4 linked regions of the Astyanax mexicanus genome follow. The protein of the gene in region 2 purifies or fractionates together with the protein of the main gene of each other region. This does not show direct contact. Links are inferred from orthologs where the notes say so. Each region holds a gene or a part of one and is shown on either strand. Other genes may lie near its edges. The genes, in order: gatad1, sin3b, arid4b and suds3.

Region 1 (7,069 bases), on a different chromosome or scaffold from region 2:
AAACTTTCTGACCTCACCAATGCTCTTGTGCATAAATGCAATCAAATTTTTACAGTACATAAAGTTACAGGTGTCCCAATACTTTTTTTCCACAAAAATGATAACCTTACTATTAACAGATCATTCACTGATCTCAGACACATTATATTTTATTCATATTTTTTATTATTTTTGTTAACAAACATATGTCCATTACAATATTTACAAATTATTGTTTTCATCAAGATAGTCTGCACAGAGATACTGTTCCAACTGTTTAATACTTCAATTAAGTATCAAGTCTTCTGTCCCCAGAGACAACAGGGTTCCACTCTCTACTGTCATTTTACAGTACCAAGCAACTGGACATCTGCTTTGTTGTATAGCAGAGTAGAGTTGTTAGCATTCGTTTCTGGCAGTGGTGTGGAAATTCACACTCAATTCACGATGATCGTAAAAATGTCCATCATTTTGCCTGGTTGCGAATCGTTGATTAATCTTTTCTTCTATTCCGTATTTGAATATTGGTCTCAGGTTACAAGGCTGAACAAAACAGTTAACTGCAGCTAACTGTTTCCTTGACTGTAACAGCAGGTGTAGGTCCAATATGGGTCCATATGTAGCCTTTCTCTGGGCGAATGGGTATTGTTGGAAAAGGACAACTCCTTGACTTAAAGTATTCTGATGGAGCATGGCAGACAAATTCAAGATACTCCATTTTCCTTGGTAAGTCCTCTTCTGGACCTGAGAAGGTAAATACTTGCTTAGTCATGTTTAAAATGCTACAAAAAGAATCAATTGCTAAAATGAGAATACAACATTAACTTACCAACAATGTAAGAGCCTGGATCAAACTGATCTCTTGGACTAGACTGAGTGGGGATTAGCCAGGTTAGTGCGGCACTCTTTTCACAGTACTGGTCCTGAACAAACCCACGAATCTGTGCAAAATACGGTTTACCGTCCTCTTCATCTGTTACCTTTATTACATCTCCTATTTGATAATAAACACCCTGGAGAAAAGGGAAGAAAGTGAATTGGGGAAAAACTGTCGCTTCTGAAATTCCATTTAAAAGTCGATTAGAAAGTCAAACCTTGTAGAAGATTGACTCTGACGTAATAATTGTGGATACAGACTCTGGAGCTTTGATAGGCTGAGGGAGGGAAAAAAAATATATTACTCACTCTGCTTTACTTAAGCATAATATATGAAGTTCATGGATAGAACTTACATTCTTTAGTTTAAAAATGTGCCGCCTTCCTTTTCCCTTAGTTGAGACTTTCTTCTCAGATGCAGGTGCCTTGTACTTAGTACTTCTCAGTCGTGCTGATCTTCTGTGGATCTCTTGCTTAGACTAGAAGGAAACAGAATCAACATGTTAGTGCTGTTATAAAGTACAAATTCTCTGATTATATGCATTTGAGATGTTCAGAAAGTGATTTAAATGTTATTTACCTATAAATGTAATTCTGTACTATTTTTTCACACATTACTCGGGTAAATCTTTTGAAAAAACATCGACTGAGCAAATGGAGAAGTTTAAATGGTTGATACACAGAGGGGAGTATCCACATAAAAATGTTGATGCACAAAATTACATTCCACTATACAATTTTTTTACTTTTAATTGTTTGTGTGCAGTTTGAAACTCTTATATTTAAACTGAATAAAACATATGTTTTGCTGCAGTACAAATTCTTAAAACGTATTTTTAAAAATATTACATATTTATAATATTTTGTCATATTGTCTCAAAAATACAGTGAAATATTGTGATATTATTTTGGGGGCCATAACAATATACTAGTGCATCTCAAAAAAAAAGCATTTTAAGCATTTGTTTCTTTTATTGTTGATGATTATGGCTTACGTGAAAGTCTTGCTTGATTGTAGAAACTTTACACTAGACCTCAAGCAGCTTGGACTGTATCTCTCCACTCTTCCTCCAGACTCTGGTCCCTTAATTTCTAAATTAAATGCAAAATTTACTGCTGATCAATGATGGTTTGGAGAGCCGTGTCATCTGCTGGAGTTGGTGCACTGTTCGTCCACTGGTGTTATATCCAGTCCAAAGTCAGTGCAGTGTTTTCACAGAAAATCTTACAGCACTTCATGCTTCCCTCTGGTGACAACTTTTATGGAGAGGCGGTTTTCATTTTTCAGCAGGACTTGGCACACTGCCAAGTCTTATATAATATTATACATAAAGAGACACTGATTTTTGAGTTTTCACTGGTTGTAAGCCATAAACATCAACAATGAAATAAATAACTGCTTAAAGTAGAACACTGTGTGAGTAATACATCTATATAACATAAGTTTTTAACTGAATTACTAAAGTAAAGTAACTTTTAAATGATATTCTTACTATTTTGAATCGAATGATTTACATGCATTTGCAAGAGCCAATTGACAGTGTAGATTTTTGGAACAAGTAACTTACGCTTATTGGCTCAGGCTGCTTTTAGAAGCACTTTAGAAATCTGTAGCCATTTGCGAGAAATACTGCTGCTAGCTAACCTAGGTTAGAAACATAGAAATCAATAAAAACAGAAGTGTAATGAAACCTGTTTTCCTCCGCCATTATTCTGCTGAGTGGTGGAAGAGACGGAGAGCCCGGGTCCTCCAGCAACACTGCTTTTAGAAGTGCAGTTATTACACAGGATTTCTCCCTGGTTTCCTTTTTTCCACATAGAAGAGGAGTTGGTTTTGCAGACCGCGCAGCTCGGCTTCACTCCCAGCGGCATCTTCCCTCTGTACCCGCCTAGCTAACGTTAACCTACTGCTCTCAGGTCTCACCGCCGCACAGTACGTATTAAAGATAGATATAGCTAGTTAACGCTAGCTGTTTGCTCCTCAGCGCAATTAAACGCTGCTAAATAATACACAAAACACTCCCAGTCTGTAGACTTTATTCCTAAATTAATAGAAAATGTCTAAACCCTGCAAATAATAATTTTAGTAACAATGAACTGCAACAACAAACCCTGTCCTCCATTATCTACAGAATAAAAGCCCCCCTTGTCCTCAAACTGAGCTACCTCTTCCGGCCGAGTTCAACGGCGTCTTCAAAATAAAAGCCCCTTTACTAACTCAATGCAGACCTGGGCATTAGATTATCTGCCCCTTTGCGTTTCTATTTTTTAAAGAATTTATTTAGAAAAAAAAAGTTTAGATTTTTTTTACAATTACAAAAAACACAACAACATTACCTACAAAATATTATAACAGTAACAATTTTACATTTTTAAAATTCACAAAGTCCAATCTTTTGGCTTTGTTTTTTTGTCCTAAGTCCCTCTTCTCTTCCGTTCTCTCATACTTTGATTAAAAACAATATTACTTGATTCAAAAGTTTGATCTATTGTCATTCTAGTCTGTTCTAGTTTTCCATAACTGATATTTTTCTATACATATGATTAACCAAAATTATTTTTTCTTCTTGTTTTCAACAATCCGTATATCCAGCCCTTTACAAATCCACCTCAGAAACTGAACGGAAAATATAGCAAGAATATTTTGAATTTATTGTTGTTCTTTTACTAAAACACTTTTAGTGTTTCACTTTCATAATTAAATAATTATATAATATACTTTTTTTTACTATGCCTTTACATTTTTATCGCCTAAGTGTAAGATCTTATTAGTAATGTGTTATGAAAACCATATAATTACTGGATTTTTAAAAAGAGATAAAATGAACATTGAGCAAAATAGAGATCAATCAGTAGGCCCAGCCCTACAAAATAGTCCCTTGGTTACAAAAGTGGCCCCTTGGTTAAATTAATTGCCCACCCCTAGTCTATTGTAACAAAAAGTAAACACAATTTAAAATTCCTGTCGGTGTCATAGTGGTAAATATGCAAAATCCAGGCTAACCATCATTAGCTTAAAGGGAAACTAAACCCCCTGATTTTTGCTGACTCCACCCTCCGCTCAAATTTAAAAAAGGCTAAAACATGGGAATGACAGTTTGGGAGGGGCACTGGGTGATGTATGGGTTTTAGGGGTGGGGCAAGAAGAGAGAGCTGATTGGGCTGAGCAGTGTGCTTCTGATAGTGGTGAGACCCAGATGGTTGAATGTCAGCAGGGGGGGGCGGTATTTTTGATTGCGTACCAAAGTACACGTACACATCATCCTCGTACATATCAACTCCCGAGCTTTCAGTCATCTAATAAATGCAAACTTTAAAAAAATTTAAGCACTTTTCCCTATCCTGTTAAAGTGTTTCAAGCCATCACCAAGCCTTAAGTCAATAATTGTGCAATCAAAGCACTAGTGCCAAGTTTTGAAACACTATTTGATTCATTTTTATTATTTTCTATTAATAAAGGTTGATATGCTAGAAAACTGAAGGTCAGGTCAAGTTAATAGGTAAATTGTAATTAAATAGTGATGCTTGTGGTTTATAGGCCCACACTGAACCTGAGATTAGCCTTATGGTATCTTACTTCTCAACACCCATGGTTTTATACCTAAAAGAGACTTTTAAATGGTGAAGTGAGCACCACACCACATCAGGAAAAGTTTGCTTCCTGTCTTCCAAACAAACATTTTGTTTTTACTTTGAAAAAATTGTACTTTGTAGTTAATAATGTCCATGTGGTGGTCTGTTCAGAACAATCAAATCACATGGACTACTTCCATGTACAGGAACAGCTTGAATGAGGTCTGAATCATGAAAATGAAGGAAAACACTCATAACTCTTCCAGGCAAAATGTCTGTAATCTATTACAATTAATTCAACCCAGGGCACTGAAATTAATCACAGTAAAACACAACGTAATTTTTAAATGACAATTTAGTCAGACACACATTGCAACTCTGGTTTTCAATCCTCTCACTCCCCATTTCAGAGTATACATTCCAACTAACACAGGACTCAATCCAGTGTAAAAGAAATCTAAGCAATGATTTAACACATGGTTGGCCCATGGAAATACAAAATGTTCCCGCAAAATGCTTTGATTGTAAAAGTGAGTAACAAAAAATGCAGTCTCTTTTAATCACTTTTTTCATTAAGTGAATGAAATCTTCACTATAAGAGGTTAACTTAAATGTGGCAACACACAGACAATATAGGGGAAGGGCATAAAAGGCACACTGAATGATAGAACTGAATGAGCGTGTTTAGAGGAAAAGCAAACTTCAGTCTCCAAATCCCTACACCCAACCTTTCTTCTTGAGCTTTAGTGACCCCTGGTGACACGATTGGAAAAGGCTCCAGCTGTGCACCAGATATTACAGACTTTCTAGAATAATCCAATGCTTAATAATGTCAAGCAGTCAACCATTTCAACCAGGGGATGATGAGTTTGGGTATATACCCAGCTCATAGCAAAAGTAGGCACAATGTCATCACCGGGATGCCCTGAAGCACTGGTCAAGAAGTGGCTTCAAGTCATTTGAAGCAAACCTGTCTCTTTTAACAAAGTGCAACAGGTTTGTGTGCAAGTGCATGAAGCAAGCAAGCGAGACTGATGGTGGGGTCATGGGTCAGCCTGTGGACTGAGATCACTGCAGTACTTGATAAAGCAAACTGCATTTTTTAATTTTTAAAACTTCTTTTTAAATCTTTCAGTGTGCATTAGCACATTTTTCTCTTTTTGAAAAAGAAATAAATAAAAGAGTAGTATAACTCACTTTCTATTCACACAGGTAAATGGGTTTGTTTTTGTAACCTCATCTTTGTGGTTCCTCTACAGGTTAAACAAGAACCCAGAAAGAACCACATTTTTCATCATACGATTTAGAGCTTCTTAGCACTCTCCTTTTCACACACAAATATCATATTTCTGTTACACTATAAATCCACATGTTTGTGGACACCCCTTTTACTGAATGCATTTAGCTACTAGCTGACACAGATGTACAACTGCACACACACAGCTTGTCTAGTCCTCAATAGTAAAGTATTGCCAATAGGACCAATGAACATGAACCTACTGGCACTATGCCTAATTCCAGATGTGCCTGAAATAATCATACTCCATCCAATACTTTTGGAATAAGTTGTGGATAATGCAGAAAGCAATCAAATCCTCACAGCAATCTACAAACTCTAGTAGAAAGCAGGGTATATTATTTTCATTTACCCATGATTTCATAAGAAACAAAGGTGTCCCAAAACATTTGTACATATAGTGTATACACTTCTTTTTCCCCTGTGGTAGGGGTGGCAAACTAATGTCATGTCCAACGTGAACTCGGAATGATTTTAATCGAAACCTGACACTGCATTTTTTTCGTACTTTTTTTTTCCGTTTAGTACTGATGGTTATACGTGATTATTAATTATTATAGAGCATTAGGTCATTTTGTGAAATAGTGGCTGACTGACAAAATCAGCTCTACTTGCTGCCTCTTTTAGAGCTTTAGTATTATAACAGGTCCCAATAAAGCAGTTCATGAACAGTGATCAAACCCTGCAGGTCCAACAGTGCTCTAACTGTGCTAGCTAACATTTCTGAAGAACATCAGGTCCTATCTTAGTGAAGTGTCAGTAAAATTGAGATTCTGGTTGGTTTTGCTGTGAACTTGCTCTGTCCCTGTTTATGTCTATAGATCAGTGTCAATGTGTGATTTATGAAGACTGTTTTTAGCTGATCTAATGAATTACAATGAGATAATGTGATTTAATTTTTTTTCAGTATTGTTCCGGTTTAGAACTGTGTGCTGTATGTTTGCCACCCCTAGTTTAAAGGAATACTCCAGTGTTTTCAATCACCATCACATAATCACTTGTAGTGTATGGCCAATGACCATTAACTATGGACATATTAACCTATGGCTATAGGGAGCCCTCCTGTCAGTTTTTAGCTAACAGTTGAATCCAGTAAAGTGCAGCTGCTGAAAGAAATAGTAAAATATATTAATAATTGTGATCTGAAACAGCGTAAAATACATAAGTCACAGTTTAGTTTGAATTACTCACCCTTTTCACTTATTGTCCAAATACCAAAAGTGCAATATTCAGCTGAATATTGTTGACAAATATTTTTGGTTGCCAAATATTCTGTGCATCTTTAGAAGATACTGAACCTAATGTTATTCCTACTATTTGCATGTATTTTGAGGGGTTTTGGTG
Region 2 (7,110 bases):
TAATGCACAACATTTAGAAATGCCATAAAAGATCATGAGACAAAATCATACCCTACTAGCCCACAACCCTGTCATTAGTAACCTGGTGCCCACCTGGTGTAATTTGTGTGAAATTCTATATTTCTATTTGTATGTATTGTTTTCTGCTACTGTGAGGGACCTGGAACCTACATTTTACATGTTAATTAATACTCTGGGTAAAATAAGAGATAAAATAAGCCAATGAAACACAGTTAGCATCTATCCAGAAGCGCAAAGTAGTATACATATACATACAAGTTTGAAAGTGTTGTGCAATTGAGTAGATAAGGTAGAATAAACATTATGCAGATATGGAGAAAAAGTGTTTACAATGTATTTAATGAAAAATACATTTAGGTCAGTGTTATCCTCGGTATACTTATTATAACATGTTTTAATACAATAAAAAATGTATTATGATTCAATAAGATAAATTGTCATATTAATCAGCTCTACACAGAAAAGTAAAAAGATATGGACAGAGAAACAGTAAATCTTTAATCATATTGATATTTCATGTGGTAAAACCCATCTGCCAGACAGCTGATATACAGCTCTGAGAAGAAAATAAGAGACAACATATAAATAACGAGTTTCTTTGATTTTACCAAATTGAAAACCTCTGGAATAAAATCAAGAGGAAGATCACAAGCAATCAAATCAAGTTGAATTACTTGAATTTTTGTACCAGGAGTGGCAAAAGATTATCCAAAATCAGTGTGTAAGACTGATGGAGAACGTGCCAAGATGCATGAAAATTGTGATTAAAAACCAGGGTTATTCCACCAAATATTGATTTCTGAACTCATAAAACTTTCAGAATATGAACTTGTTTTCTTTGCACAATTTGAGGTCTAAAAGGCTCTGCACCTTTTTTTTCAGCCATTTCTCATTATCTGCAAGTAAATGCTCTAAATAATAATATTTGTGGGAGAAATGTTGTCAATAGTTTGTAGAATAAAACAACAATGGTCATTTTACTCAAACATATACCTATAAGTAGCAAAATCAGAGAAACATATTCAGAAACTAAAGTGGTCTCCTATTTTTTCCAGAGCTCTATAGACATATAAAAAAGATCAAAACCATAAGGTGCTTGCTTTGTTTGTATGTGTGTATGTATGTATGTATGTATACGTTTGTTTACTTGTTTGCAGCAGCTACAGCATTTATGCCTAACCTAACCAAAATAAGGGTAAATTGACATTAGAGAATAATAATTCAGCTCACAGCTCAACACCCTGAAAATTATGATGGAAAACAATACCACCGGTTCTAGCACCAAAGAACCTTTCTTATACAAGACAGCTTTTTCAGTTCTCATGTTGAGTTGAAAAGTTAAATGCACCAAAATATGGTGTATTGTGTTTGTACAAGGTGCTTCAAGCTAGGTTCAAGTTTCTTGTTAATTTCCTTGCAGCAGCTTTTTTATATTAGCACCATATATAAACTGTGGCACAAAATAGTCCTAATTTTAACATATCTCGGTTAGTCTAAACTAACGTTAAACAAGAATAAATCAGCTCACAAATCAAACACCCTGAGAAATCTGATGGATATATCAGGAAAACAATACCACCAGTTCTGGCACTGAAGAACCTTCATACGAGATAAACCCTTTCAGCTTCTTCAGTTCTCAGGGTCTCCAGCAACTTTATAACTCAAGTGTCAATTAAAACAAATCGTTACAGTGAATTTTGCATTAAATTCAACAGAATTTGGTTTTATTGTGCTTTTAGCAAGGCGCATCCCCACAAAAGCACTGCAACTCAGCAAGTGGCTAACCGGCTAACTCAACTGAGAAGGATCTGGAAGCTCTTTTTAAATGAGATTAAACTGTATTTAAGTTAAAGTAAAGGTTTTTCGGAAAGTCTTTTGGGTTTATAAGTGCTGTTTTTTGTTTTGGAAGCTGCCAAAGCAAACAGCATTAGCTTTGGGAAAGTAAGACAAAGAGAGGCAAGCTAATAAGAGGTTGCTAACCTAGGTTAGCTTTGCTAGCTAGGTTCGTTAGCGATAGCTATGCTATGCTAACGTTACAGCACTTAGATTACCCAGCTAAAAACATATACTATAACGAGGGGGTCGTTTTATATGGTACGAAATATAGCTACATTTTTTAATAGCTATGTTCAAAACTGGTCAATAGATTATATGTGTATATTATATACGCCTTAAGCAAATACGAATAAAAAAAGAAAGAAAAAAATCTAAAAGAAGCTGAAGTTGCGAGTTTGTACGTTCCACCTTAAATGTTGCCGCAGTTTTATTCTGGCGCCCCCCGGACGCCAGAATGTAACTGCTACTACACTTAAGGTGGAACGGGAAAAATCGCACAAGAAACTGAAGAATGGGCAAGAACTTCAGAGAAAGAAATAACACAGCACTACTCAAAACTGGTCGCGCCACTTTATATCGACTTACACTTACTTTCATTTACCCCCGTTTTTCCTTACCTTTAGTTTCTGGAAGTGCTGCTGCTGTTGTTGCTGCTGCTGCTGTTTCTGGGCGCTCAAAAAGGCCTTGTCCTGGTTTATTGGGTTGATCTGCTTGGTGCTGCTGTGAGCCTGGATTTTCGCCATCGTCCCCAACAGCTACACACACGAAGACACACGTTCTCCCTCCGTATCTGCCCACAAAACAAGCAGGGCAGGGGAAAAAAACAAGCAGGGAAGGGAAGCGCTCCAGACAGCGGAGCGCCCACGCCGCTCAGACCGCGCAGAGTGCCTCCAACCCCGGCCAGCAGCGGCAGAGCGGACCGCTGTGCTCAAACTGAAGAGAGGAACCACTACAGCGTTTAAAGCACGGCTTTACTAACCAGAAAAGGTCCAGAGAAAGCGGGGGAGAGCTGAAGAACTAAAAAAGCATAGAAGAGAAAGACTACTCCCGGATTTTCAGTTTGTAAATGTTATTTTTAAAAACTGTCTCCTGTCTCTTTAAATTCGGCGGCAGCGGAGCGAATGTGGAAGAACGCACCGAGCATGCGCCTACACGGTGGGGCGGGGCTTACAGACGTGCGGGGCGGGCGGTACCCGGATGAGTGAAGGTGTCGTTTCAAATGCTAATGCTATCCTCTCAGAAGTGTCAATAAATATTAGTGATCAATACACACTACAAAACACCACAGACTAATCAATAAAGTGTTTATGGCTGATATAACAGTGATGTATGACGGTTTATTAGTGACTAATATAAGCATATACATTGTCTTTGTGTGAAAGTGGAAAGGGAAATGGGTGGTCAAAATGTAAAAAGTTAACTGTTGCCATACATGGTGTATTCAAGTAGTGTTATTATCAGAATACTGTGCATTTTGCCCTTCAAAAACGTCTTTTTTTACTATTAGAAAACCTCATACTACACAGAAATCATATTTTCCAGCTTAATCACTTTAATTTTAGGATTATTATCTGAATATTTGACCTTAAAACTTTTCAAAAAGTTACTTTACATTTTTTATTCTTTTAACTAGGAGGAATCTTGTAGTCACGTTAGGGGTGGGCGATATGGCCCAAAAATACTACGATCACAATATTTCATACTCTTGGCGATATGACAAAACACTAAATAAAAAAAGAATATTTCAAGAATACATTACTGCAACAAAATAAAAATTAAATTTTGTTATTGCATACAGTATGATATGGCACATCCCTAACTGAGATATTAAAAATTACAGAAATTTATCAGATTTGTAACAGAAGTCAATAATAATCCAGAATGTCATGATACTAATAATGCACTCCAAATATATCCATATATGCAGCATTAAAGTACAATAAATGATACTGGACAGATATAATCTGTCTCTAGTAGAAATATAATGGCAAATGAGAACAGTGTGAATTTGTCTTTTGCTAAAAACAGCAGTAAAAAAGTGATTATTAGGGGTGGGTGATATTGCACGATATTTCAGGGTATAATATCATTCATGATATTCAAAAATGTTGGCACTATTAATGCTTACAATACTATATGGCACAACCAACATATTCTGTGAAGCATTTAGGCTGCATTCTGAGGCTAGTAACATTGATGAAATTATCCTGTGCTGTGCAACAGAGGTAACTTTTGCTCTGCCCTTCCTGGTGTGGTCCTGATGAGAGTCAGTTTCATCATAACGTTTTTGATTGTCTTTGCGACTGCACTTGAGGATACCTTTAAAGTTCTTGAAATATTTCAGATTGATTAATCCTAAAATAGTTCTCTTTACTTCCATAACATGGATTTGAACTTTACTCAAATAGCGGCTATTCACCGTATACCATACCATCTCTACCTCTTTAAATTTCGCAACTGATATCAAACATTTTAAAAGGGCAAGAAATTCAAGACATTAACTCTTGACAGGTTAAGCACAGCTGTTAACTCAAAGCCATACCAGGTTTGGCCATACCATAGTTTGGATGACTTTACTATTAATCTACAATGCAGAGCATTTTAAAATAATGAAAAAACACTGAATTTAAAATATGTCCTAACTTTTAACTGGCACTGTAAATAATTCCTTATTTAAAAGACATTTTTTATTTTTCCTTTTTAATTATTCATATAGTTGAGATGGCTGAGGTCCTTCACATTCTCCCTCACCTTAGTCCAGCACCCCTTGCTGTAGATGGTCTGCAGGTCAAGAAACTCAATCCAAGTGAACATATCATCCTCTGTAAAGGTCTGTGCTGGGTACTCGGTGCTGTTCCTAAACCAAGCTGTGATGTTCCCTGTGAGAATACAGGTGTAGAGGGGCAGAAGCAGCTCCAAATGCCTAGAAATACAGCTAGCTCAAGGCTGTCTTATTAAAAAACAACAGCCAAGAATGTATCTGTTCAACATATTTTATAAACATATACACTATATTTAAAGTATGTAGCATATATTTAAATATATAGCTCTCTGCATATCTTCAGTTGCAATGCAAAATGTACTTAAGAAGGTGCAATTGGTGGTTCAAATGGTGAGCGACCGGTGGTTGAGGTTGCGTTACTAGTGGTTCCACCTAGTGTAAAGCCTTTCCAGATAACTTGTGTCTTCTGGTGGCTGATCAGGTGATACAATTGGTAGTTAAGGTGGTGTAATTGTTTGTTTCAGTTGGTGCGATTGGTGGTACAGGTGGGGCGATTGGTGGTTCAGGTGATGCGATTGTTGGTTCAGATGGTGCGACTGGTAGTTTAGGTGGTGTAACTGGTGGTTCAGGTGGTATGAATGTTGGTCCAGGTGAAGGGTTAAATAAAGAGGCAGACACATAATGCAGGATTTAAAAATAAGCGTGGTTTATAAAACCAAGTAATGACAGGATCACCAAAGTGTGTACAGAAATACAAATGATACCATCAGAACAACCATCATAGAAGAGAATAGTACACCCAACATTTACAAACTACTCCGCAAAGAGGGAACTGTAAGACGTTTTTCTCTGTTTATCTTTTCAAACACAGAACCACTATAGTTTATCTAATTTCTACTTTAGATTTCTCTTAGGACTCAAAAGTACAGTCGTCTATTTACTACAAACATCGTCACAGTCGGAAATTTAAGAAAAGGTACAACATCGAGAAGATAGAAAAAGATGCAGAGATACAGTATCGAGCACTTCAACATTATCATGGGTTTAGCAGGCAGATAAACCGACACATAACTCCGATTCCTCCGGAACGATAAAAAACAGCGTCATGTCAGGATACAGGGATTATTGGGGGATTGTTGAAGGTATTTAAAAAATTTCATGTACAAAAAAATCACCCTCCGCTGGGAAGGTTAACTTCATCACTGAACTCGACACGGCACTGAATGGATGTTGGTCTAATATTCACCAACTCTAATTCTCATTGGCTGTTGATCGCCCAAACCAACATGTGACGTACCACAATATACTGTAGCCCAAATATTTTAATGTATTTATTTTGTAAAAATATTTGATATTTTATGCATTTGCTTACAGGGGAATTTGAGTAACTAGTAAATGTATGTAATACTTCTCATTATAAGAGTGTTCAAAGTATTGCAACATAAATAATCCGATTTCTTTAATATTGTTTTGAATAATATTCAAACATCTTAATACAGCAATATCATAATGAATAATATCACAAGATTTTAAATGATTTTACTTGGTAAGCTATCATTATTAAAGTGTAGCAAATAATTATCTTAAAAAGGACATCAACTGGAAAGGACATTAGTGATATCTTAGTTCAGTCTCTTTAAATCTAGTGGTTATTTTTAGTATATCTATCTAACTATGAGACTGCATTATAATATTACATGTGACACAATGTACACATGGTGTGATACACATGTACACATGGTGTGATAAACATGTATGGGCATTTCAACTTGATTGATTTCAACACTCTGATAATGAAAATATGATTTAAAATTTAACTCTTTTATGAGATACTGGGGTGTATATATCAATACGTCAGGTGTTGGAGTGGGCGTGGCTAATGACGATGAAAAAGTCACAGGTGATCAGAAACACGTTCCACAGTCACAACATCATCGTCTTATTCTGATAAACAGCTCAACTACAGAACACAGAGATAGAGTGCAGGAGAGTGACCCACCAAATCCGACCCATTTATCTTTAATACTGCTCATCTAAAGCAAAATAAAAGTACCCCCCCCAACATGGACTTAAATAATAATAATTAGTACAATAAATTAAGCTTCATTCCTTTACACCAGATGAAAAATAAATTAAAGTATTTACAGTTAAACATCAAAGAAGCATGCAGGCGGGACCAGTGGAGACGCAACATAGCGGGCTTGTGCTCACAGCCCAAATGGGCCTGGGATCAAAGGTCAACTCCAATCAGAGAGAGGAACACAAAGCAGGGGCTCAGAGAAGTGTGTGTGAGTGTATGTATATATATATATATATATATATATATATATATATATATATATATATATATATATATATATATATGTGTGTGTGTGTGTGTGTGTGTGTGTGTGCGTGCACAAAATATTATTAAATATTTTCAACATTTTAAAGCTGCCAATATGTGAACAACCAATGGACATTTAGCCCAGCAGGTGTCTTTTGATGTTTGCTGTTGTTTTTATTAATTTCTATTTAATTAATTTTATTGG
Region 3 (7,794 bases), on a different chromosome or scaffold from region 2:
TTATTAGTATCATGACACTGGATCATTGACTTCTGTTACAAATCTGATAAAACTTCTGTTATTTTGTAATATCTCTTTTAGGGGTGTGCCATATCATATCGTATGCAATAATAAAATTAAAATTTAATTCGGTAGCAATAGTCTATTCTTTTATTAATATATTTTTTAAAATTCAATGTAGTGTGTTATCGTGAAAATACCTTAAAATATTGTGATATTAATTTAGGGTGATATCTACCAACTCTACTACAACAACAAATGTTTTGTTTGTTTGTTTGTTGAGGTGGATTAATGTGCTATTTTCCTGCAAATTGCAATTACTTTGAAACCAATAAAACATAGGTTAGTTGACCTAGCTAAAGTGTAAGCTAACTAGCTTAACAAACTTAACACAGAATTAACTGAAAAACAGGCCAAACTGAAGCTTTCCAATATTTAAATCTGACTTTATTTCTTATACTTCTATTTCCTATAGTTAATATTTTAGTGCTTATATCACTGGTGCTTATTCTCTTTGGTGTGGTAGCTAGCTACCAACACATTTTTTTGGTTTGTTTGGTGAGATTGATTAATTGGCTTTTTTTCTGTAAATTGCAATTGCTATTATTTGAAGCAAATTAAACATTACATAACAAAAAGGAAAACAGCTTCCCAAAACACTTGTTATTTAACTAGCTAACTACAGTTTCCCACAGGCTGTGTCTGTTTCCAGCACAACAACAACAGTCACCTCAGCCAATAACCGTCGAGTTCAGTCTCGGTTTAGAAAACGATAATAAAGAGAGAAAGATAGTCCAGATATAGAGCAACAGAGCAACATCAGTCGACCACTGCCTGGACTAATCTTATCGTCGCTGTTAGAGTTAGGTTAGCTGGGTTATCTGGATGCGAAAGCTTTCTAATAAGAGCTGAGCGGATCGGAGCCCGCCAGCCATTTCTGCTCTTTCTGAGAGAGACTGCTGCTGTTCAGACTGGAGCAGAAGTAGTTAGCTAGAGGTTAGGGCAGCTAAATATCGAACTGTCTGGAAATACAGGCGAAACAAAACGTTTAAACTACATTAGAACAGTAGATTAGCTAAACTAGCGACCAATGATTCGATTAATGAAAGTGGTGATAGGTGTATAGCGAGTCTTTCTTTATTTTTTAGCTAGATTAACTCTCTCTCGCTAATTAACCAGAAGATAGGAGAGAGTTCATCCTCAGTACCACCAGCTAACCTAACGCTGCTGTTACCAGCAATTTCCATGTATTCTGACCACTGGTAAACACAGAAAACAGGCTTTTAAAACCGCGATGCGCCGCACAAAGCCTTACATAAGGGTCTGTCCAGCGAGGGAGGCACTCACTGCTTTCCCCGATCAGTTAGCTATAGGTTATTTGATGCCGAGCAGCAGCAGTGTTGTTGTTCTTCTTCTTCAGGGTTGGAACAACGTTTACTAGCTAATTTTAGGAATTGTAGGTTAGCTAGTTACTAAATTAACTGGCATTAATAAGACTAGCACATATATAACGTTATATATCTACCACAAGTTCCAATATCCTGGTCTTAAATAAACATAAGGAGACGTTGACACAGAATGTAATAAGTTAACCTAACAGCTAACGTTATGTTAGCTGGGTTAGGTCTTAAAAAGTGGCCCAAATCTGATGTTCTTCATCATAATGCTAAGTTACCCAGCTGGTATTCAACGTTGAATCAACGTTGTATTTGGTGTTGATTTCGAAAAGTAAATCAACGCTTATATGGCGACGTTAACTTGTTTCAACGTTTACGTTCAACCTTTTATAAATCGTAGTTAACTAAAAGTAGAAACTCCTATGGTTAACAGAGTGTTAACCACAAACTTAACTTACATCACTGTAGGAAAGCTGAGTATAAAGAATGTTACCCACCACCACTACCAATCTGATTCAACATCTGATCTCAAAAACACTAAAAGAGTAAAACTAATAGAACATGAACATTCCCCCAGGTATGGTGAAGAATTTGTGCCAAATTAAAAAAGCAGTTACTGCAAATGGAAATAAAACCACTTTTGCATCCCTCTTGTATGGCGACGAACTGTAAAATGCTGATTCAATAGGCAGAAGGTTGAGGACATTATGTTGATTCAACATTCAACTATTTAACATTAAATGTGGTTTCAACGTTGAAACAACAACAGACATTACTTCAATCATATGTCAACCACATTTAAACGTTGAAGGTCGGTTGTGGTGCCAGCTGGGTAGTTGGCGTTAAGTGACACAGATGTGCTATCTAGGTGAACAGCAACAACTCCCTGAATATGACGGAATGATACCCTCTTCCCACTCACTTTTAAAGTTATTATTATTACGTGGTATTGAAATCCGATACATATCTGGCAATGGCAATCGCATCAGTTTAGATCACTATTAGGCTGGAAGTGTGAACTGTTCTAATGAATGTCGGATATAACCTAGCGTTAGGTCACAAAGAAAAGAAATATCTGCTTTTTTGTGACACTTTACTCGCTGTGTAAATGCGACCAAAGAGGCACGAAGTACTATTCTATGCACTATTTCGATGCTGTTTACCTGGCAACCCCCCACTCGCCTCGCAGTCCGACCAGCACGCAAGGTTAGCAAGCCCTCCTCCGTCCGATCGAGCAGTCAAGTCTAACGTTATTAACTAGCTATAGCTTTAGCTACGTGTACGATCTGTAATCTGGATATCTTGATGTAGTTAATCTTAATCAGCGCATAGTTAACTAGGTTAAATCGGACAGCATTTCCACCAACAGCTTCAGGAAAAAGAAAAGACTGTTTTTAATCTAATATGGATGCTCGCGGTAGCATAACGTTAACCCGTGATTTTTTTGCCGAACAATCCGCTAAAAGACTCGCTCTTACCTTGCGAATGCGATTAAACAAGTTTCCCTCTGCCGTTATGCGTTAATCCATTGGAAAACATGCAACAATCCTCGACGATTATCGTCCAAAGGTTGCCCGCAAACCCGGGGTCCGTGTCGGGAAGCGAATCCGACGAAATGTCTCACCAGTCGGGCTCTTTTCTCTGTAGCGATCGCCTACCCTTCTGTCATTGACTGACAGGTACACAAACCCGCCCCCTGCCGCTGTCGCCATCTCTCATTGGTTTAAATCTGTGTCCGTGCCCGCCTCTTCGATTTGATTGGGAAACGCGTCCTCTAAAAAACGGCATTTGTTTATCGCCAAGAAAAAAAAGCCAGCGGGTTGATGGGAATTGTAGTTTTTTTGAGACCCATTCGCGCTCTCCACGCCGCACATTTTTACTGACTACACGAGCTACGTAAATCAAATGGACTACATTTCCCACAAGTCTCGAACGCGATGGAAAAAAAAAAACGGGCGTCTGTCTCCGCCCACTCCAACGCGCTCGCGCTCTCCGGGTGCCATGGTGTATTTATACCCCGCGGAGAGCGAGGAGGATTCACAGCCACGGAGTGTCGAGCGCGCGCAGCCCTGCGCTCTCCCGGTAAAGCGCGGATTCCGCGGATATTGATATGGCCGATCACCGTGAAGAGGACACCGGTAGTGACTGTGATCAGGAGATCCGTGACTCGTGATTAACCGAGGAAAACGGATCCGTCACGGGCTAACCTGCTAACTAACGTTAGCTCGAAGAGGGGACAAAAAAATCGATAGCGGAAATACCCGGATTACTCATCCCCGGTCTGGAAGGTGGGTGGCGCACGTGCTCACATTATTAGCTACTGTCATTACCGCCAGTAAACCGGAACACGAAAAAAAATATATATATATAACGTTATATATGATTTTGCCAAATTAAAAACATCTGGAATATAATCAGGAAGATGATCACAAGCCGTCAAACCAAGCGGAACCAGGAGTGGCATAAAGTTATCAAAAGCAGCGTGTAAGACTGGTGGAGGAGAACATGATGCCAAGATGCATGAAAATTGTGATTAAGATATGATATGAAGATTTGTGTGAAACTGAAATAAAAATGGGTGATTTTCAGTTTTTTTAATTATCAAAATATATATTCAAAAAGAGCTTGTTTAATTTTGTGCCAAATAGTAAAAACAATCCTAGACCCTTTTGTAACCTAATATCTACGTTCACATGAGCCATCAACAACCAGGGTACAGTGTGTTTAAAAAAAAATACAGAAAAAAACAGAGGGTCTTCAAAATAGGCTGAACATGGCATTTTATGGCCATTTTGAAAAGTGGTTAATAGTTCTGAGACTGCATGAAAACTAAACTTGAACCATTTCTGTTCAGAAAGTAAAAACAAAACTGAAACCATGTACACTTCAAGCTAACTGAAATGGCATGCATTCATATTTCAGAATGATAACAAACCTGTATTGGGCAGCTCACCAAATTCATGAATAAATAATTATAGAGTTATAGAGATTGTGCTCTCTCTGTAAATGTAACAAGGCTTAGTGTCCTAAAATGTTTGTTTTTCATTGTGTGAAAAGCAGCAGGGTGGTGAAGTCTGGGTTTTGAGTGGTTTAAACAGTTTGCTGTTCATTTCTCTGTTGCAGGGTTTGGTGATCTGTGCGGGCAGAGGGGGATGGATGGTCTGGAGGGAGCAGCGACCGAGCGGATCCTGCTGGAGCCGTACAATTACTTACTGCAGCTACCAGGTCAGAACCTCCAGAACCTACACCATCACTGGGTTTAGTTATAGTGCATTAATAAATTGTTTATTAGCTCCCACTGTTTTGTTTGAATAAAAAGTAAACTTAAATGTTCTTAATATATTGTGATGTATTTTGAAGCATAACCTAATTTGGTTATTAAATCAGTTGTTCATGCAGTACTATATGACACTCACACACTTTAAAAATGAATTAAAATAGTATGGATGAATCTTTAAAAGATACAGCTAGACTTTAGAGAGCTTCAACCTGTTTATTTGTGTTGTGCTGTTTGTGTGCTCTCTGTGTTTGGCATGTTTATATGCGTTAAATGCAAAGTATCAGAAACACATCTATCAGCACACATTTATTTATTTATAAATTCATGTATTTTATGTCTTTCGGAGATATTTCGGTCTGGGCCTTTTTGGTATTAAATTTCCATACCCAGCCCTGGTTCTGTTGCTGTCTGAGTCCAGGTTAGCCCCGGTTGGTGATGCCGCAGTGTTTGAGGTGCTTGGGGTGACGAGCTCTTTACTGTGAGTAAGTGATGTGCGACGGCGCCTCCAGAGAGAACAGGCCATCAGTCAGACAGGAAGTCAGCACAGTGCCCTCGGAGCGGTGCGGGCATGCCGCTATTATTAGCAGAGCTGTGCTGCCTCAGGCTTTTGTGTTCCTCGAGTGTTGGTGTGGAATTGGTGTGTAGAGCGAGGCGGTGGTTCTGTTCTGGTTATGATCACTGTTGGTGTTCAGTTCAGATGAATGACTGAACTTTGATCTGTGATCTGACAGATCAGGTGTTTGAGTGTGGGCTCTGGAAATTTGGGTTTAGAGTTTCAGATGATGGCGTGTTTGATAAAGTACAGATCACTATACAGTCTTCATTTTTGTTTATGGGGAAAAGGCACATAAAGTAGGGGTGGAAATCTTAAGGCACTTTATGATTCTATTGGATTAAATTGGATTATGATTCAGAGTCTATGATGGCAAATGTAAAACAATTATAGAGCATTATTTTGATAATGCATTTCTTATATCTTCTTCTATATAGGATTTTAGTATATAGGATTAAGTATCTGTAATGATTCCCATTGTTTAATGGGCTTAAAAGGAAATTTAACACTGTTTCTATTTGCTTTAAAAAAAAAGCATAGTTACTTTTTAATTAAATGATTAATACAAAAATCCACAATTAATATTTTAATGCTTTTTAAGTGTGAATATTTAGAATGTGTTGAGTTATTGAGTTTTAACTGGGAAAAATAATGAAGCAAGTAAAGTAAATAAAGTGTAGCTGTATATTCTAATCTACCTTAGAAAAAGGAAGTGAGATAGAGATAGAGAAAGAAAGAGAGAGAGTGAAGAGACACAGCATCACTTTCTACAGTTTGGAGAAAAAAATGAAGTGGATGAATATAGAGGACGGCTCGAGTACTTTGTTGGATTAGCAACATTTAGAGCATGAAGGAAATGTGTACCATGTCTATACTGTACAAGTGTACTAGGAGATAAAATGTGTGCCTGTTACGCTAAATGTGTAGCTACATGTTGGGAGGTCTGAGTTGATTTTTGACGTTTGTGAGGAGGCCGTTCGGTGGGATGACCTTAACTGAGGTCAGCACAAAATCTCAAGCCTGAGATGTGACTCTGTGCCACAGAGGGAGTACAGACTTACAGCCAGGGTACAGGAAGTGCTTCTCACCCACCCTTCTGCTGCAAAACTACTATATTACTAACAGACTGTTCTTTTATTTAAAAGCTCTGCTTTGATCTTGGGTGATACCTCAGCCTGTCCACTGCTGAGTCGGATGGCTCTCCCCATCCCATATTGCTCAGTGCAATATCAAAAATATCAATATATTAAAGTACCACAGTTTTATATTGTGTATACTGTATCGTTTGTAAAAACAATAGATTATTCTGAATGGATAAAAATGAAATATGATTGTGTGTTTTATACATGTTACTAGGGGTGGGCGATATGGCCCTAAAATAATATCACAATATTTCATGTTTTTTTTTTTTTTTTTTTCCCGCGGTAACAATACTCTTGGGGATATGACAACACTGAATTAAAATATAAAAAATTAAAAATATTTCAAGACTATACTACTGCAACAAAATGAAAATTAAATTGGTTTCTTTAATACGATATAATATGGCACGCCCCTAACTGAGATTTTAAAAAATACAAGAATTTTATCAGATTTGTGACAGTGAAAGTCAATGATCCAGAAAGTCATGATAATAATAGTAATAATGCACTCCAAATATCTCCATATTTCCCGGATTAAAGCAAAATAAATGATACTGGACAGATATAATCTGTCTCTAGTAGATAAATAATGGGAAATGAGAACAGTGCGAATTTTTCTTTTGTTAAAAACAGTAAAAAGTAATACCCTGGTGTGATAATGAGGGGTGGGTATTGCAGATATTATTACGTACGATATGATATGGCACAGCCCTACTAGTTACAGTGGTCAGTATGTTTAAAAAAAAAAAAAAAAAAAAAAAAAAAATTGATTTTTTTTCTCTTCTCTTTCTGTTTGATCAGGAAAACAAGTACGGACTAAACTGTCTCAGGCTTTTAACCACTGGCTCAACGTCCCCGAGGATAAACTGCAGGTAAGCACTTGTATTTTTTGGAAATCTCTTCAGAAATGTACATGTTATTGTAGACATTTTGAAATGAGAATGATGAGACTGTACTATTTTTAGGACATTTTTACAAAGATTGTGTGACTTTTTTTTTTTGGACACAAAAGTCAGGTTGTTGTTTAGTTTAGTGTAATTTATTTCACTTATTTACAATTTAAAGTCTTTTGCACAAAAGTTTGGGGTCTTTATTAAGGCAATTTTATTTATTTATTTATTTTTTAAGAAAAATTAACATTTTCTAAAATAAGATTCTGCTTTATGTTAATTGCATATACAATTTTGTCTTTACTTAATTGAAGCTTCGTATTGCATTAGACAGAAAAGCAAAATATTATAAAAGTGCGTCAGGCCGAAAATGGACAATATTTGATTGTTTAAAACAGATTGGATTGTGACTTGCCTAAATAAAATGGTAAAGATTAACCCTGTGCTGGGGGGGAGGCTCTGGGATAATGCAACAAATTTACAGGCCGACCCGAACCCGGTCTGACCTTATCTGTCTGTTTATCTCCGTTTA
Region 4 (7,917 bases), on a different chromosome or scaffold from region 2:
CTAAAAACAAGGGATACACTGAATATTTATCAACTGAAATTATTATAAACTAAATCATATTAATCCCTAACAGAGAGTTAGGGTTATATTCCCACTGTGTATATAATTTTGGAGTGAAAAAATAAATATTCAGCACACATAATCTGCATCTCGTAGATATGTCATGTAAAAAAGTAAAGTATTGGGATATTAAGTAAATTGTAATTAATTAAACTTGCCTCACATTACACTATGGCGTTTAGCACAAGCCAACACCAACGTTAATGCAAGCCCAGTATTAAAAGGATCAGTGTAAACAAGGGGCGTGTCCAGCAACAGCTTATTTGCATAGAAATGTCAGAGCTCTTAAACGGCTCATTCTAAAAGGGGCTGAAACTGGTAAGAATAGATCTGTGAGATCTTTATCTTTATGTTAGAATGATTTTGTGTAAAGAACTTTATGAACATGTTTTGTAAAGAACATAGACCTACTAAAATAAAATAAAAAACTGGTATAATATCCACTTTAAATGTGTTAGATACACAGTAAGTTTTTTATATTTATTTATCTTGTCAATTCATCATTTAGCGCAAATAAATTACCCTTATATTACCCAGCCCTAGATAAAATGTGATTGTTGAAATCCAGACTAGCTCAGCATATAATAAAATTAACTGTATATATGACAAGTGTGTATACTCACTGTTCCTTAATTTCCACATAATCGTCTTCATCGTGTTTCGCCAAATCTGTTTCACTGGCGTCTTCAGTGTCTGAAACAAAGTTTAACATATTAGAACAATTACAAATAAATAACTAAACATGTTAAGCACTTATATTTTGTTTGCATGTATTGTTTCTCAATGACATTTTAGTTTTTTTTAAAAGTACTAAAAAGAAAACAAATTTACTCTGTGAAGTATTTAGATACTCTTATCTGGGGAGCTGTTTGTTAACTTGTGGTTTCTGAGGCTGGAAACTCTGATAAACTCATCCTGTACAACAGAGGAAACTCTCGCTCTTCTATCCTTTCCTGAGCTGGTCCTGATGATTGCCAGTTCCATCATTATAACGTTTTTGATGGTCTTTTTCGCGACTGCACTTAAAAATTGACTGACCTTCATTTTTTCTTAAAGTAATGTTTTCTTCTCTTAGTTGAGTAGTTGTTTCTTCGCATAATCTGGATTAGAACATTACTCAAATATTCACTATTCACTGTATACCTGTAACTCTACCTCTTCACTACTTTACTTTAACTGATGCTCTCAAACTTTACATTAAGAGACAAGAAATTCAAGTAATTAACTCTTGATGAGTTCAGCACAGCTGTTAACTGAAAGCCAGAATTCCAGGAGACTCTACCTCATAAAACTGACTGAGAAAATCCAGCAGAGATGTTCAAAACGTGTCATGTAAAATATAAAACATATTCTGGTTTGTTTAACACTTTTTTTGTTTACTAAATAATTCTATTTCTTTTTCTTCATAGTTTGGATGAGTTTAGTATTAATCTACAATGCAGAACTTTTAAAATAATGAAAAAAAAAATTTAAGGTGTGTATAATTGCTGCATGTATCTAACCTAACTAACTAATTATCTAGGTTAGATAAATAACAGATTATATAGATAGTAAATTAGTTAGCTAACCCATTCAATTATCAAGAATAAAGTATAATTTATGTATTCTATGATATATTTATATAAGGGATATTTTATATTGACAAAAACAGCTACGATTTACAGATTTTAACGTAATTTAACACATTTTAACGTATCTAACACCAGCTAGCGTCCCCAGTTAGTTAGATAACTAATAGCTAAATAGCTAGGTTAGGTTATTAAAGCCGTGTTTGGTAGTTAGCTGTGTGGCTAACATATATCTGACTAACTTAAACCGTGTAGTAGCTAGTAAGTGTTAGCTAGCTAAGCTAACTAGCGTTAGCTAACTTCAACATTTTCGTCGTAGCAATAACATGTCTTGCTTTTAACAGACAAATAACTATTAAATTTATATTTAATTCTGCCTTTCTATATAGGCAAATGTTCTTTCTTCGTTATCTAACTTAAACATATAACGTCTTAATTCGTTTTTAGCTATATTAAATAAAGCTAACAAGCTAACAACATAGCGTTATCTTGCTAACTAGCAAACAAGCTAGCTAAAGGAATGCCAAAACAAAGCGTGTAATTCTGTCTTATGTGCTCTATTTTATATTTTCCAGTCTGATATAATTTAATTTGAATGTTTAACAATAAGTCTAAATGCACGTTAACGTTGTTTGTGGTGAAATTCGTCTTTTAAAACTTGTTTATAAACATAAAATTGATGATAGCTTTAAAAGCTAATCGCTAGGCTAACGTTAAGCTAAAGCTAAGCTAACGCTAAGCTAGTAAGGGGTTCAAAAAATAAAATAAGTCCTCTCAAATTAAACACAAGGAATTCATTTACCAGAATATAAAAGCTCTAGTGTATCAATACTTGTATATAAGGCTTTTTAAACGAAGTTAAATATTTAATTCATATAAGAAAATGTAAAATTAGCTATAAAATAAATATAACTAAAGTGATAAACTGAATATTATTTTTTTTCTCTTAACAAAATAAAAGTCCCGCAGCCCAGCTCTCACAGCCTGCAGACAGCAGCGGAACAGAGCCAGACTCAGACACCGCGCTGATTATAATTCACTTTATACAGTTTAACACTTAAACTAAGCAGATTTTAACAGAAAATACAGTTTTATTTAATGTTAAATCTGTATATTTATATGTAAATATGGGTCTGTATACCTTCCTCCGAGTCTCTCCCTCTGAAACTCCGATCTTCCTCCTCATCCATACTGTCCAGCTCCTCTTCATCATTATAATAATCCACCACAGGAGAGAGCAGCGTGGCCATGCTGCTGCACAAACTCACTAAATATAAATATAAATATACAGATAAACAGAATAAACACAGAATCTGTTCAGACCCGCGATTATTTTCTTCCTCTCCGCGTCCAAAAGCGTGTAGCTGGAAGGCGGGGAAATCTGATTGGCCTACATGCGCCTATGAGCATTATGGGAAATGTAGTTTGACGTGTGCAAAAAAATACAACAACAATTATTTAAAATATAATTTAAAAATGCGTTGGAAGAACATATACTGTACATTTACTCGCTGAGAATATAGGAAAAAAAATTTAAATACGTTTTACATGCATTTGTTACATAAACCGCATTCTAAATGGGTTTGTCTTTAAAACATAAACAAAAATACCTTTATTTACTATCAGTGCAGAATATTTAGAGAAATATTTATTATTATTATTATTATTATTATTATTATTATTATTATTATTATTATTATTATTATTAATAATAATAATAATAATAATAATAATAATAATAATAGTAATAATAGTAATAATAATAATAAAAGAAATCCGCCTATGAGGATTATGGGAAATGTATTTTGACGTGTGAAATAAAAAAACAACAACAATTATCAAAAAAAAAAAGTATTTAAAATGTGTTGGATGAACATGCAATGTGTGTTGCCTTTTGTATTACAAAAGCAAAAAATTAAAATATATATTTAGAGAAATATTTAATTAAAAAAAATAAATTCACCTATGATGATTAAGGGAAATGTAGTTTGTCGTGTGCAAAACAAAACACAACAAAAAAAATGTGTTGGATGAACATGTACTGTATTTTTACACACTGTGATTATGAGCCAAATACATTTTTACACGCATTTGATACATAAACTGAATTCTAAATGGGTTTGTTTTTAAAACAGAAACTATAACAAACAATGTAGTTTCTTTATTAAGATTACAGTTGTTCTTATTTAATAAGTTATAATATTACAATTAATGATAATATTAGTAATAAGAAGAAGATCATTATTTACAATTTACATTATTTATATTATTATCAGTGCAGAAATGGCAGAAATTGACATTTCTGTTCCAAAAGCAAAATAACAAATATATTTAGAGGAAGATTTAATAAAAAATAAAGAAATCTGACTATGAGGATTATGGGAAATGTAGTTTGATGTGTGCAAAAAAAAAACCATTCCAAATCAGTAACAATCAATCAGGAATCAAACCCAAATTCTGCAGGTTTAAAAATAAAGACATTAAAACAAGACGAACAAAACGAAACTAAAGGTTTGGAAACATTAACTGTTTTTTTTGTTTTTTTGTTTTTTCGAAAAATACTGATTTTACAATGAAGTTCAGGAAAGAGCCAATTTTATTATTTCATTCATTATATTTTTACGTTGCAGATTTACTTACTTTTTGTTTTTTAAATATTTTCTGTTACAATTACATTTATAATTTGATTCATTTTACTTATTAAACATGAAAAGTTTTTATGTAATGCTTAAATAGAAATCTTCAAGACATAGGTGTGTATTATCAGGCAGATAATTGACAAAAATCTGAGCCTGTTAACTCAAGTCAAGTAGTTTTATTGTCAATATTGCATATGTCCAGAGCATACAGAGGGTTGGAATTACGTTAAGAAAACAAGTACTGGAAGAAACAAATTCCATAATTAAATTTCCTTAATCTGTGTTAATTAATCTGAGCAGTCTGGACTTTTTCACATTACATCAGATTATAATCCCGTCCTCATAATTATGTCATCATTTCTCTCTGTGTATAACTGTGTGTGTGTTTTGTTATTGTAGCGGCTGCAGTTCCTCTCTCGGCCGGCAGGTGGCGGCGTTTCCTCGGTTCAGAGCCCGGTCTGCGTGTCTGCGCGTGAGTGCGGGATGATCACCTGCAGCAGGTTAAATTTTAAAGCGTGTAACTGAAGCTCGGCTCGGTTCTGCTCCGCTCCGCAGCGGCTCGGCGGCGACCCCGGGACCAGGACACCGAGGGCCGGCAGGGCTCCGCGCTGCTGCCGGTTAGAGGAGGCGGATCTCCGCGCTCAGCTGTCAGACGCTCAGCGTGTGTTTTTACGTTTTTACGCGTTTAATCCAACGACGTTATTTGTGATGACGACTTTTTTCACGGTTTACGCGTTTTTTTGTGCGCGTTGTGCGCGCGCTGCCAGCTCCTGGGCTTTCAGAGGGATTTTAGAGTGTTAGTCTCTGATGCTTCTGCTGTGTTTTTTATATCGTGTGAACGTGAAAGACAAGGTTTTGTGCGCGTTGTTTTCGGGGGACGCGTTTTCTCCCTGCGCTGAGAGACTTTATCTGGATGGAGTTGCGCTTTACTGCGCGGACAAAGGATACGATATCTCTGACAGGTAAGAGAAAATCTACGTTATGTCGTGATGTCACGCGAGTTTGCGATGTTTTCGCTGATGGCGTGTCGGTGGCGCGCGCTGTCGTGCGAGAATTCGCAGTGTTTTTCGCTTTACTATCAATCGTTACGCTTTTACGCTTTTTACTATCAGCGTCATGTTTGATGTTTGAGTGGATCTGCGATCGATTAGCTGCTCTGGAAACCAGCACGAACTCGCCTTAGGTGTTGTGCCGAAATGCATTACCGGGCGATATGTGCTTTTTGGCTGTAGTGCCCATGCGCATGCATATGTTTTCACGTTATGTTTTTGTGAAAAACGTAAAATACAGCTATATAGCTATATAGCTATTGTTGTGTCTTGTTTCCAATATTTAATAGATTGATTAATTGATTGATTTATTGCGGGTGTTAATGTATTAAAGACAGTTTATCATTATTAATTATAATAATAATTATCATTATTATTACATTAATTAATTTCAAACTAATCTAACATATAATACCTTTAGTATAACGATACCCTGATCTAGCACACAGCATGATTTATAGATATACATTGCTTTTCCTAAGTGTTTTACCTTTTTTAAATAGCCTAGATAAACAGAAGTGCTATATAAGTACTGCATTGTACTTAAATGTAAACTTTTTATAATTGTAAAGTATAGTATTGGTCTTTACGGGGTCAGTTTTGTTTTCCTCTGAAGTACAAAGTCTTCCCTATAACAACAGGAAGTAAAGATTTATACCATTTAACCATCCAAAAACTACATTCATTATTCTGTATCACTGTACTAATAAACAATATATATATTATTTCTACATTTTTCATTTGAAAGAAAAACCTCGAATTATGCAAAGAAAACAAGTTCATATTCATAAAGTTTTAAGAGTTCAGAAATAATCAATATTTGGTGGAATAACCCTGGTTTTTAATCACAGTTTTTATTTCATGCATCTTGGCATCATGTTCTCCTCCACCAGTCTTACACACTGCTTTTGGATAACTTTATGCCGCTTTACTCCTGGTGCAAAAAAAAAAATATTATTTCATCCGAATGAGTAGACTTTTCTTAGAAGTAGAAGTATCTTGTTTATACCAGTTTGGAGTAGGAGTAGCAGGTTTTGGCAGGGTAGCACAATTGGACGGCACACCGGACGTCACGTTTCACTTTTCAGGACATTTAGGACATTTTTTTTCGCGTCTTCTGGATCATGCCCAAGCCTGGTTATAAGGTTTGCGCACTTTTTAAAGTTTTATTTAGTCGATAAATTTATAATATGATATTAAACAGGCGGTTTTCTTTAATATGTTGCAGTTTTATTGGCGCGCGCTACAACTGAAGAAACTAAGTAACCAGCAGCTGTAATGTTATTTCCGTGTGCGCGGAAATAAGCAGAAGAGGAAAGAAGCTGAAAAACGCGCTAAATCAGCGCAAACTCGGGAGTTTTGCAGCTTTTCTGCTGGAGAAGAAGATCAGGAAGGAGTGGAGAAGATCTGGATTATTCTAAGATCTAAACTCGAGCAGAAGGACAGCAGGTCAGTGTTTACTGAACTTTGTGCTGCGCGGAAATTAACGCATTTAGAGCTGTGTGTATAAATATATATACAGAGTTAGAGTTGTTTATTGGGTGAAAAAGCACTAAAATAGAGCTAATATCCGAGTTATTTCACTTATTCCACTTATTTCGGTTATTTAAGGTGATTGAGAGCAGGTGTGCACGCTCGTGCACAAGCACCTGTCCGTGTTCTGGCGCGCGGGAGGTTACCGGTGTTGCGTCGAGTCGTGCTGCCCGTCGATTTACGCTTCCTAAAGACACTCTGCACATGCGCTGACCTACATTTAAAATAACAATAATAATACATATATATATATATACAGCAAAAAAAGAGAGCACTTAAAAAAGGCAGAACAAGCTGCACTAGTTATAAAGTTAATTAAAAGCAATATGTAAGACTGGTGGAGGAGAACATGATGCCAAGATGCATGAAAAAACTGTGATTAAAAACTATTATTGGATTATTCCACCAAATATTGATTATTTCTGAACTCTTAAAACTTTATGAATATGAACTTGTTTTCTTTGCATTATTTGAGGTCTGAAAGCTCTGCATCTTTTTTGTTATTTCAGTCATTTCTCATTTTCTGTAAATAAATGCTCTAAATGAGAATATTTTTATTTGTAATTTGGGAGAAATGTTGTCTGTAGTTTATAGAATAAAACAACAATGTTCATTTTACTCAAATATAAACCTATAAATAGTAAAATCAGAGAAATTGATTTTTTTTTATTATGGTAATTCTGTACTTCTGTCTTTCTGTGCAATAAACATCAAAAACTCTTACTCATTACACAGAAATGTTTAAATAGAAATAAAACAAACAAATATACAAAGAGGCAACAAACTATTTTTTACTTATTACAAATTTCCGTACAATAACCTATTTATTTGTTTATTTATTTATTTATTTACTTACTTACATAGTTATCTATTTATCTTTTAATATTATGTTACACTGCACATCTATGTCCAATACAATGAGGTGTTTATACAAGCGGGTTATAATTATATATATGTATATATATTTAAATACGTATATTTGGCTGTTTATGTTCATACTATATTCTTACATTATTTGTTGCTTTGTTAGAACATTTTTGTTCGATTAATTCTCATCTTTGGTTCTGA

Evidence for each region.
Region 1: the proteins of sin3b (region 2) and gatad1 purify together in Homo sapiens (affinity purification with mass spectrometry; 5 studies listed by BioGRID and IntAct, with this or other methods). This does not show direct contact. The link is inferred for Astyanax mexicanus from reciprocal best matches to the Homo sapiens genes SIN3B and GATAD1.
Region 3: the proteins of sin3b (region 2) and arid4b purify together in Homo sapiens (affinity purification with mass spectrometry; 3 studies listed by BioGRID and IntAct, with this or other methods). This does not show direct contact. The link is inferred for Astyanax mexicanus from reciprocal best matches to the Homo sapiens genes SIN3B and ARID4B.
Region 4: the proteins of sin3b (region 2) and suds3 purify together in Homo sapiens (affinity purification with mass spectrometry; 3 studies listed by BioGRID and IntAct, counting the BioPlex papers as one, with this or other methods). This does not show direct contact. The link is inferred for Astyanax mexicanus from reciprocal best matches to the Homo sapiens genes SIN3B and SUDS3.

What each region holds. Positions count from the first base shown.
Region 1 is NC_064410.1:50,880,607-50,887,675, reverse strand, and holds the start of gatad1 (GATA zinc finger domain-containing protein 1), read right to left. Parts: upstream 3,006-7,069; 5' UTR 2,728-3,005; coding exon 2,548-2,727; intron 1,335-2,547; coding exon 1,212-1,334; intron 1,134-1,211; coding exon 1,074-1,133; intron 993-1,073; coding exon 809-992; intron 724-808; coding exon 536-723; 3' UTR 1-535. UniProt on the Homo sapiens protein: Component of some chromatin complex recruited to chromatin sites methylated 'Lys-4' of histone H3 (H3K4me), with a preference for trimethylated form (H3K4me3).
Region 2 is NC_064419.1:9,138,398-9,145,507, forward strand, and holds the start of sin3b (paired amphipathic helix protein Sin3b), read right to left. Parts: upstream 3,025-7,110; 5' UTR 2,601-3,024; coding exon 2,475-2,600; intron 1-2,474.
Region 3 is NC_064414.1:2,381,458-2,389,251, forward strand, and holds the start of arid4b (AT-rich interactive domain-containing protein 4B), read right to left. Parts: upstream 3,024-7,794; 5' UTR 2,876-3,023; intron 1-2,875. Other genes in the region: ggps1 (geranylgeranyl pyrophosphate synthase), read left to right, coding at 4,550-4,622, 7,174-7,244. UniProt on the Homo sapiens protein: Acts as a transcriptional repressor. May function in the assembly and/or enzymatic activity of the Sin3A corepressor complex or in mediating interactions between the complex and other regulatory complexes.
Region 4 is NC_064429.1:38,430,971-38,438,887, reverse strand, and holds the start of suds3 (sin3 histone deacetylase corepressor complex component SDS3), read right to left. Parts: upstream 3,013-7,917; 5' UTR 2,879-3,012; coding exon 2,770-2,878; intron 754-2,769; coding exon 684-753; intron 1-683.